2 linked regions of the Oryzias latipes genome follow. The main gene of each other region encodes a partner of the protein of the gene in region 2 in a complex. Links are inferred from orthologs where the notes say so. Each region holds a gene or a part of one and is shown on either strand. Other genes may lie near its edges.

Region 1 (4,081 bases), on a different chromosome or scaffold from region 2:
CTTTGTTGGCGTCTCCTGGGACTTGGCCGTCTTCTTCTTGGTTCGGTCCGAGTCCGACCTGGAAGACTGGTGAACCCAGATGACTTCTGGATGCTGCTCTGTGATTGGTCAGTCTCTGCTGTCAATCAATATTGACTTACCTGCTCTTCATTGTCTGATCTCTCTGAGGGCTGCTCCTCTTCATCAGCAGGTTTCTCTCCGTCAGACTCTGCCGCCGTAGCCGAAGCTCCCGTCTTCTCGTCTTCGTCCTCGTCTTCGTCGTCGCTGCTGGAGTCCATGACGATGGCTTTGGACTTGCTTCCTGTTCTGGACTTCTTGGGGCTGCAGGAGCTGCGCTCTCTGGGCCTGCTCTTCTTCTTGGAGTCCTCACTGGTCAGCTTCTTCTTGGACCTCCTCCTCTTCTTCACAGGAAGGCGCTGAAGGAGGAAGCAGGAGGTGCTGAGAGGAGCAGCTGAAGGAGGAAGGTGGCTCCTCTCCAGAGGAGCCGGGTCCTCCTTGGGGTCCCAGGTCTGGACTCACCTTGCCGCTGTTCTTGGGCGCCAGCAGGAAGCTGAGGATCCTGTGGATGAGGTCGGCGTGGGTGCCCTTCTTCTCCAGGTCCAGCACGGTGCAGACCACCTTCAGCTTGCTGTTGCTCAGGTTGGAGCTCCTGTGGAGACGAGCGGCTGTGGTTTCTGCCAGAGACCAGCGGACCTTCTTCCGGCTCTCACTCACTTCAGCAGCTTGTCCCGTTTCCGGTGGAACTGCTCGCTGTCCGCCTGGAAGGGGAACCCGTTGAAGAGACGCAGGTTCCTCTTCATGGTGGACACCTGGAAGGGATTCGGTCAGCACAACGTTCTCAGCGGACCGGGCCGCCTGTGGGCTTTACCTTCCCGGGTCGGTCGTACAGGATGGAATGGAGCGGCTTCAGGTCTGCTGGCTTCATCCTGCTGATCTGGTGGGCGGTGCGAGGAATGTCCCCCAGCTTGTCTCCAGTACCTGCAGGGCGGGAATCGAACCTGTGGTCAGCTGCTGGTCCACAGTGGTCGGGCTGGCTCCGGCCGCTCACCGTCTCCGATCTTCAGCTTCTCCTTCTGCTTGGGGGCTTGGAGGTCCAGCCTCTCCACCGTCTTCTTGGCCCGCTTCCCCTGGAGGACGTCGCCCCCCCCGGCTGCAGCAGAGCAGACGTTCAGCAGCAGGTACGCAGGTGAGCTCACCTGAATAGCTCCGTCGTCCTCACAGGACTCCGTGGATCCGCTCCGGTCCGGACCCGCCTCCTCACGGTCCTCCTCAGACGCCGCGGAGCTGCCCATGGCGGCGCGAGTCCTGCAGATGATGACATCACCGTTACAAACAATGACATCACACACAGCCTTTGATTTGAGCTCACCGGAACGGACAGAACCAGAGCCGTTCCAGGAGAACTTCTACTCTGTAGAAGAAAACGCTTTGGTTCTGATCCGCGTGTGGTCGCGTTCCAACCGGGTTAGAAACACGATCGGCGGTAAAATTCCATGAAACCGTTTGGTCGTCTTCATCCTGAACATTGCAGACGTTACACCAGCGGGTCACGTTCAAGTCTCTGCTGAGGAGCTTCAGACTAACGTTTTCCAAAGGGAACTTCCATCAAGTGCATGGGCGGGGTCAAAGGTCACAGACACCGCTAACCTGAAACGTTTCCTTATTCCAGGGTAGAATGACAGGACCGGCTGCAGAACCCAGTTCTCCCGTTGGCGGGTCAGTTAAGGCGGAACCTTAAACACCTCTGATCCGGACCCAGAAGACACGGATGTAAAGAACTGGAGGATTTAGACGGATCAGTCGTGATTTTCACTAACATCAGTCCGGACGATCCTTTATTCCAGGATCCGTAGTTTTAGGAGGACGAACTCTGCAGTCCGGACCATCGTTGATGTTTTTATGCATTAAAGTTCATCTGTTGATCCGATTCCAGAGTCGTCTTTTACTGATGAGGTCCTTTTTAGACAAAACCCAAAAAGCTGTGTTGTTTTGTGGGACACAGTTTCTGCAGAGCTCATCAGAAATTCTGTTGTGGGCAGGAACGCTTAAGCCCACCCCCACATCCCATCATCCCTCCGTTAACTCTCTCCTGCTAGCTTACAGCCCCTCACGACCCAACATTAGCAGTGTAACAGCAGCATCAGAGCCATCCAGCCGTCCGGTTCTGATCCAGATTCCAGCTCAGACCAGGAAAACAGAGACGACCATGAATCGGTTGGTCTGCAGGTGGATGATCGGAAAGGGGCGGAGCTTTGAGACTGCGGCCCCGCCCATTGTAGCTCCTACCTCACACCTACAAGCGTTTTCAAACAGTCTTTTTTTTCATCTGCTCCTGATTCACAGCGACTTGGAAACAGAAAAATCCATTTATATCTTAATGTTCTTTATGTCTCCATCATCAAAAACAGCGTTTTTCATCAGAGGGGTTTTCATCCACACAGTGGCTGCATGTATGTCCGTCATCTGTTATTGATAAAGGAAAGGACTCCATTTGGGCCATTCCTACAGACTCCCTACTTTCAGGCGCCACGCGCTCAGTTTCAGGGCGTGCACGTGGGTAGGTGCGCTTAAACAAAAGAAGAAAACTAAGCATAAAGTAGAAAAGCTCAGATCCTAGCCGCGCGCCGCCGGTTAGTTCCCCATTGAGCATGCGCAGAAGAGCTCAGTTCGAAACAAACAATCGTTTGAGCGGCGCGCGCGCGCTGCACGCACTGACTTAACTGCCGTGTGACGCGAACGGCGGCAGTTCGGAGACACGTATAGTAACGGCACGAATCCCGCGAGCTGTGGAAACGTTCACCGTTTCATGAAGACCCGCGCGCGGCTTACCTGTCACTGCGCCCGTTTGATTTCACGATGGCGGTTTCTTTCGAGGGCGGGGCTTACAGCGGCCGCTCTGTTCATTGGACAGTCTTCTTTTTCTGGTTCAGGCGGGTTGGTCCCGCCCCCTACCGGTCTGGAGGACCAGAGGAAGTTTCTTTTTGCTTACATTTTAATTTACTTTATTTATTTTCTTTTATTGAAAAAACACTTGAGGTTTACAGTATTGTGGCAAATAATTCAACACGTTACAATTACAACAGGAATAGAAAAATGTAAACAACATTAAAAAAGTTTAATACAGAAAAATACTTAAAAAGATAAAAAGATTAAAATAAAATAAAATGAGGGGCTCACATGGATATCGTAATGATCAATAACTTAGGAGATTACCTCTGATACTTTGAAGTTCCATCGTTTATTTTCCATGACGTTAACGGATGAAAAAAAAGAGCAGACTTCTTCATGATTTTAAGGAATCGACATTTATGTTTAGAGAATTTACCCAAAAAATTACAACATTTAGAATAAGTTCTGTGTTTTTGTTTTCTAAAATAAACCCAAAAATAATGTCCTTAATAGAAAAATTCTGCTAAACGTGGAATCTTGGGGAAAAGCCAATAATGTAAATTATTCCAAATGACATTAGAAGGAAAACATTCAGAGAAAAGTTGCTCAGTTGTTTCATCTCCACATGAAGAAAACAACAGGTTTCAGGAATTCCAAACTGTTTTCTTAGTAATTCCTTGGAAGGGTAAATACCTGAAAAGGTGTTAAAGTGGACTTCCTTGGCTTTAGGAGGGATGGGGGGGGGGGGGGGGGGGGGGGGTTGAAATATTTAGTTCCTATTTGTTTATTTTCTGAATTATTAAAATATTGGGTTAAATAGTCAGGATTTGAGATGCAGGGAAAATATGTTTCATTCAAACATTCTCTGATGTGGTGGTTGGGGGGTTTGGACGTTGCTGTGTTGTGTCCATTAACCAGAAGCGTGGAGACAGCAGGACGTCTGTAGATGACATCATGAAACAGATCAGAGACTGATTTACAACATTTTGAGGGACGGCATTAATAATGTTTTCAAAATCTTTTCTATTTGAATCATATTTAGCTGTGAAATCATCCAAAGACATGCGAGTAGCATTGTATAGGTAACCCTTGTTCTATCCTAGACACTTTAACGTTGGGAGTGGGGTCATCTAGACCCACTAGACAGTGCTCTGAACCTTTTTTCTTCAATGATTTGTGATCTTCACTGGTG
Region 2 (3,649 bases):
GAGAGGTCAGAGGGCTCTTCCTCCTGCTCAGGAAAGAGACCAGAGCTTCTCTGAAGACACCGGTGACCCGCTCCACGTCCACTTGGCCCATGAACGGCAGCTAAACAGAGAGGGACACATGTCAGGGTTTCTTCACACCTAGCAGGGCTGCAAAATTTCCTTTAGGTTTAACATTTATTTCTTTATAGTCTACAATCTATACTTTCTGGTTAAAAAGGTTTTTTACATTTTCATAAAATAATTCTTCTCAAATTTACAGTCTGGGTTTTTCATTCTCTTTAATACAATCCTGATCTGACCCCATAACAACCAAGCTACTATTTTTGTCAAATGGATCTAGTTTTATCCAAAAGAAATTCTGTTTGACTGTTGAGTCATAAACTCTGATAATAGGATTGATTATATTATTGTTCTTTCAAGACTTTCAGAAGGTTTCATTTTGTTCTCTTTTCTTCATTTGTGAATAAAAGCTTTTCCGTTGAAAATGTCTTTTCTTCACCCATTTTCCAAAAGCGTATGTCAGACAGCTTTTGTTAAACAGATTCTTTTTGCAAAAAGTTGTTCAGAAAAACTACGCTTATTGTTTTTGCAGATTATTAGCATTGGTTTCATGATGTAACAAGTAAATAAATAAAAAAATAATCGAACATCAATTTTGGGATTTTCTCTTTAATGCAAAGATGTCCAATCTTTTTGCAAAGAGGGCCGATTTGGAGAGGTGAAAATAATTAAATCATCTGTATAATATAGTATAATATAGATATATAATATAGAATTTAGTCAATCACAATCAAGAAACTGTACAACCAGATTTTCCAAAGCGCTGTGGGCCGCATAGTATTCATTTGGTGAAGGGAGTCAGTGGGTTGGTGAAAATTTGAATGCGGGTCGCATTTGGCTCATGGGCCGGACTTTGGACATGCCTGCTTTAATGCATTTTACCTCTTGTCGTAGTTTTGACCTGCAATGCCATCCTTTCTGGGAAAAGTGCTAAAGAAATAAGCTTTACTTACTTACTAAATGTTTTTGAACTAAAGGCTTTCCACCTCAACAAATGAACATTTAAAATATACTAAATGGATTTGTTTTAAAGCAACAACAAATACTAAAGTAAAGGAGAAGATTCCTGTGAAGATGACAGGTGAACCAAAAGGAGGCCAAGTAATCCAGGACACTTCATGACCCAATAAAAATCCAGGAACAGACCTGACTGCTGAGCACCCAAGACACTCAGCAGGTATGAACGGCCTTAGTTTTGACCCCGAGGTAAAGCGAAACCTGCAGTTAATTTACTTTTGTTTTAGATTAAAATGAAAACAGAAATAAAATATTTATTTATTTATTTTATAAGAGTATCGGTAAAATACCGGATCAAAAAGCAGTATCAATAAGAGTAGTAGTACCGTTAAAACCTTAACGATACCCATCCCTACTCGAATGATCTGAGCAAGGCAACAACATGAAAGGAAGTCAAATAATAAACCTACATTGTGTCCTGTGGGTTTCTGAGCCTCTTTGGCTTCGACAGGAAGAGCTCCTCGCAGAAGTTTCACCAAATACAGGCATGCACTGAGGAAAGGAGAGGAACACGATCAACATGGAGTCTAACTCTAACTTCAATTTATACTTTCTGTCTCTTTTTACCACAGGCCTATTTTTTTAAACCTTTCCAAATGACAGTGGAGACAGGATTCTACCTGAAGTAGTAGAGACTCAGCGAGGAGTCGGACAGTTTCTGGCATTTGGTCATCAGCTTCTCCAGCAGGTCATGCAGCTCCCCCTGCCTGTCACCTGCGGTTCTGCAGTAACTTTTAGACCTACAGAGCTGGTTCCTGATAGAAAAACATGTTTGTGCCCTTTAATCAACTTCATCCCATTCAAAATACAAATGTGATCAATGAATGAAGCTTAGGGGAAAAAAAAGGAGAACAAATGTTTGACATTTAAGTTCAGACTACAAGAAACTCTGCTGATAGATCAAACTTTCAAACTTTATTTATAAAATAGCGCTTCTCATGCACTTTGTGCAGCTCGAAGCGCTTTAACACTAAAAACAGTAAACACACAACATTACAATAAAAACCCCAACCCACCCTTCACCCTTCCCACACCCCTCCATTAAACCACATGACCCATGGCTCCCACGTACAATGAAATATGACTATGTAACTGTAAAAGAATAAATAAATAAATAAATAAACAAGTATGGCTTAGCTCTGCTGTGAGGAAACAGTATCTGGGAATCCTTTCATACCAGGAGCCAGCCCGGCCACCGGAACATCGCCACAGTGCCCACCCAGACCGGGACAACACCGGGGTCCCCCTCACAGCCAAAAGCTGTAAAATTAGACCCCAGCCGCCCCAGCAAGGGCAACAACTGCAGCAACAACCGCTGACCAAGCCGGCAAGCCCTGGAGGAAAAGATCCCCTCAAGAAACACTGGGGCTAAAATCATAAGATGCTAAAATTAAAAACATAAAAAAGAAAAAACATAAAATTGAAAATAAGATGCATAAAATTAAAATAAATACATAAATAAAATAGCCTATACTAAAACTAATAGAATAAATTAGCAGTTAAAATCAACTAAAAGCTAAATTAAAAAGGTGGGTCTTGAGCCTCTTCTTAAAAACCTCTACTGTCTCTGCGGCCCTGAGGCTCTCCGGAAGGCCGTTCCACAGGCGAGGACCGTGATGGCAGAACGAAGCCTCACCATAAGTTTTGGTCCTCACCTTGGGAACAACTAAGAGGCCAGTACCGGAAGACCTCAAGGTCCGCGAGGGCTCATATTTTAAAAGAATATCATTTAAATAAGAAGGCCCAAGACCATAAAAACATTTATAAACCATTAAAAGAATTTTAAAATCAATCCTGAAACGCACAGGGAGCCAATGCAGCGATTTTAAAACCGGTGTAATGTGTTCCCGCCCTCTGGTTCTCGTCAGAACTCGTGCCGCTGAGTTCTGTAGAAGTTGTAAGTTTGAAAGAGACTTTTTGGGTAAACCAGAGAGCAGGGCATTACAGTAATCTAAACGACTGAAAATAAAAGCATGCATTAGCACTTCTGTGCTGGCAAGAGAGAGGAACGGGCGGACTCTGGCAATGTTTTTGAGATGATAAAATCCTGTCTTAACGACATTTTTAATGTGTGGGATAAAATTTAGCTCAGAGTCAAAAAGTACGCCCAGGTTTCTCACACATTGAGAAGGTTTAAAATTATGAAGATGTGGTAAAATCATCTCTCTCTTGTCTTCAGAACCGATGATTAAAACTTCAGTTTTGTCCTGGTTGAGCTGTAAGAAATTTTCTGCCATCCACAACTTTATATCTAAAATGCAGTTTAAAAGAGTGTTGACAGGTTCCAGGTCATCAGGAGACACGGCGATGTAAAGCTGTGTATCGTCAGCATAGCTGTGAAAGTCAACGCCATGTCTCCTGATGACCTCCCCAAGAGGCAACATATACAAATTAAAAAGTATTGGCCCTAAAATTGACCCTTGGGGAACCCCACAGCTTATTTCGTGGATTCCTGAAGAGCACATATCCATACTTACATAAAAGTGTCGATCTGTCAGGTAAGAGTAAAACCACTTAAGAACATTTCCAGAAAGGCCCACTAGACTACTAAGTCTGTCTAATAAAATCTGGT

The links. The genes of interacting proteins can lie anywhere in the genome.
Region 1: mybbp1a (region 2) and dek share a complex: the UniProt entries of both Homo sapiens proteins name them as parts of the B-WICH complex. The link is inferred for Oryzias latipes from reciprocal best matches to the Homo sapiens genes MYBBP1A and DEK.

The regions. Positions count from the first base shown.
Region 1 is NC_019874.2:32,321,490-32,325,570, reverse strand, and holds the start of dek (protein DEK), read right to left. Parts: upstream 2,926-4,081; 5' UTR 2,830-2,925; intron 1,928-2,829; exon of another isoform or gene 1,670-1,927; intron 1,604-1,669; exon of another isoform or gene 1,370-1,603; intron 1,306-1,369; 5' UTR 1,293-1,305; coding exon 1,220-1,292; intron 1,187-1,219; exon of another isoform or gene 1,151-1,186; coding exon 1,049-1,150; intron 979-1,048; coding exon 869-978; intron 810-868; coding exon 715-809; intron 650-714; coding exon 520-649; intron 417-519; coding exon 141-416; intron 67-140; coding exon 1-66. UniProt on the Homo sapiens protein: Involved in chromatin organization.
Region 2 is NC_019872.2:24,964,341-24,967,989, forward strand, and holds part of mybbp1a (myb-binding protein 1A), read right to left. Parts: intron 1,833-3,649; coding exon 1,698-1,832; intron 1,570-1,697; coding exon 1,488-1,569; intron 101-1,487; coding exon 1-100. UniProt on the Homo sapiens protein: May activate or repress transcription via interactions with sequence specific DNA-binding proteins. Repression may be mediated at least in part by histone deacetylase activity (HDAC activity).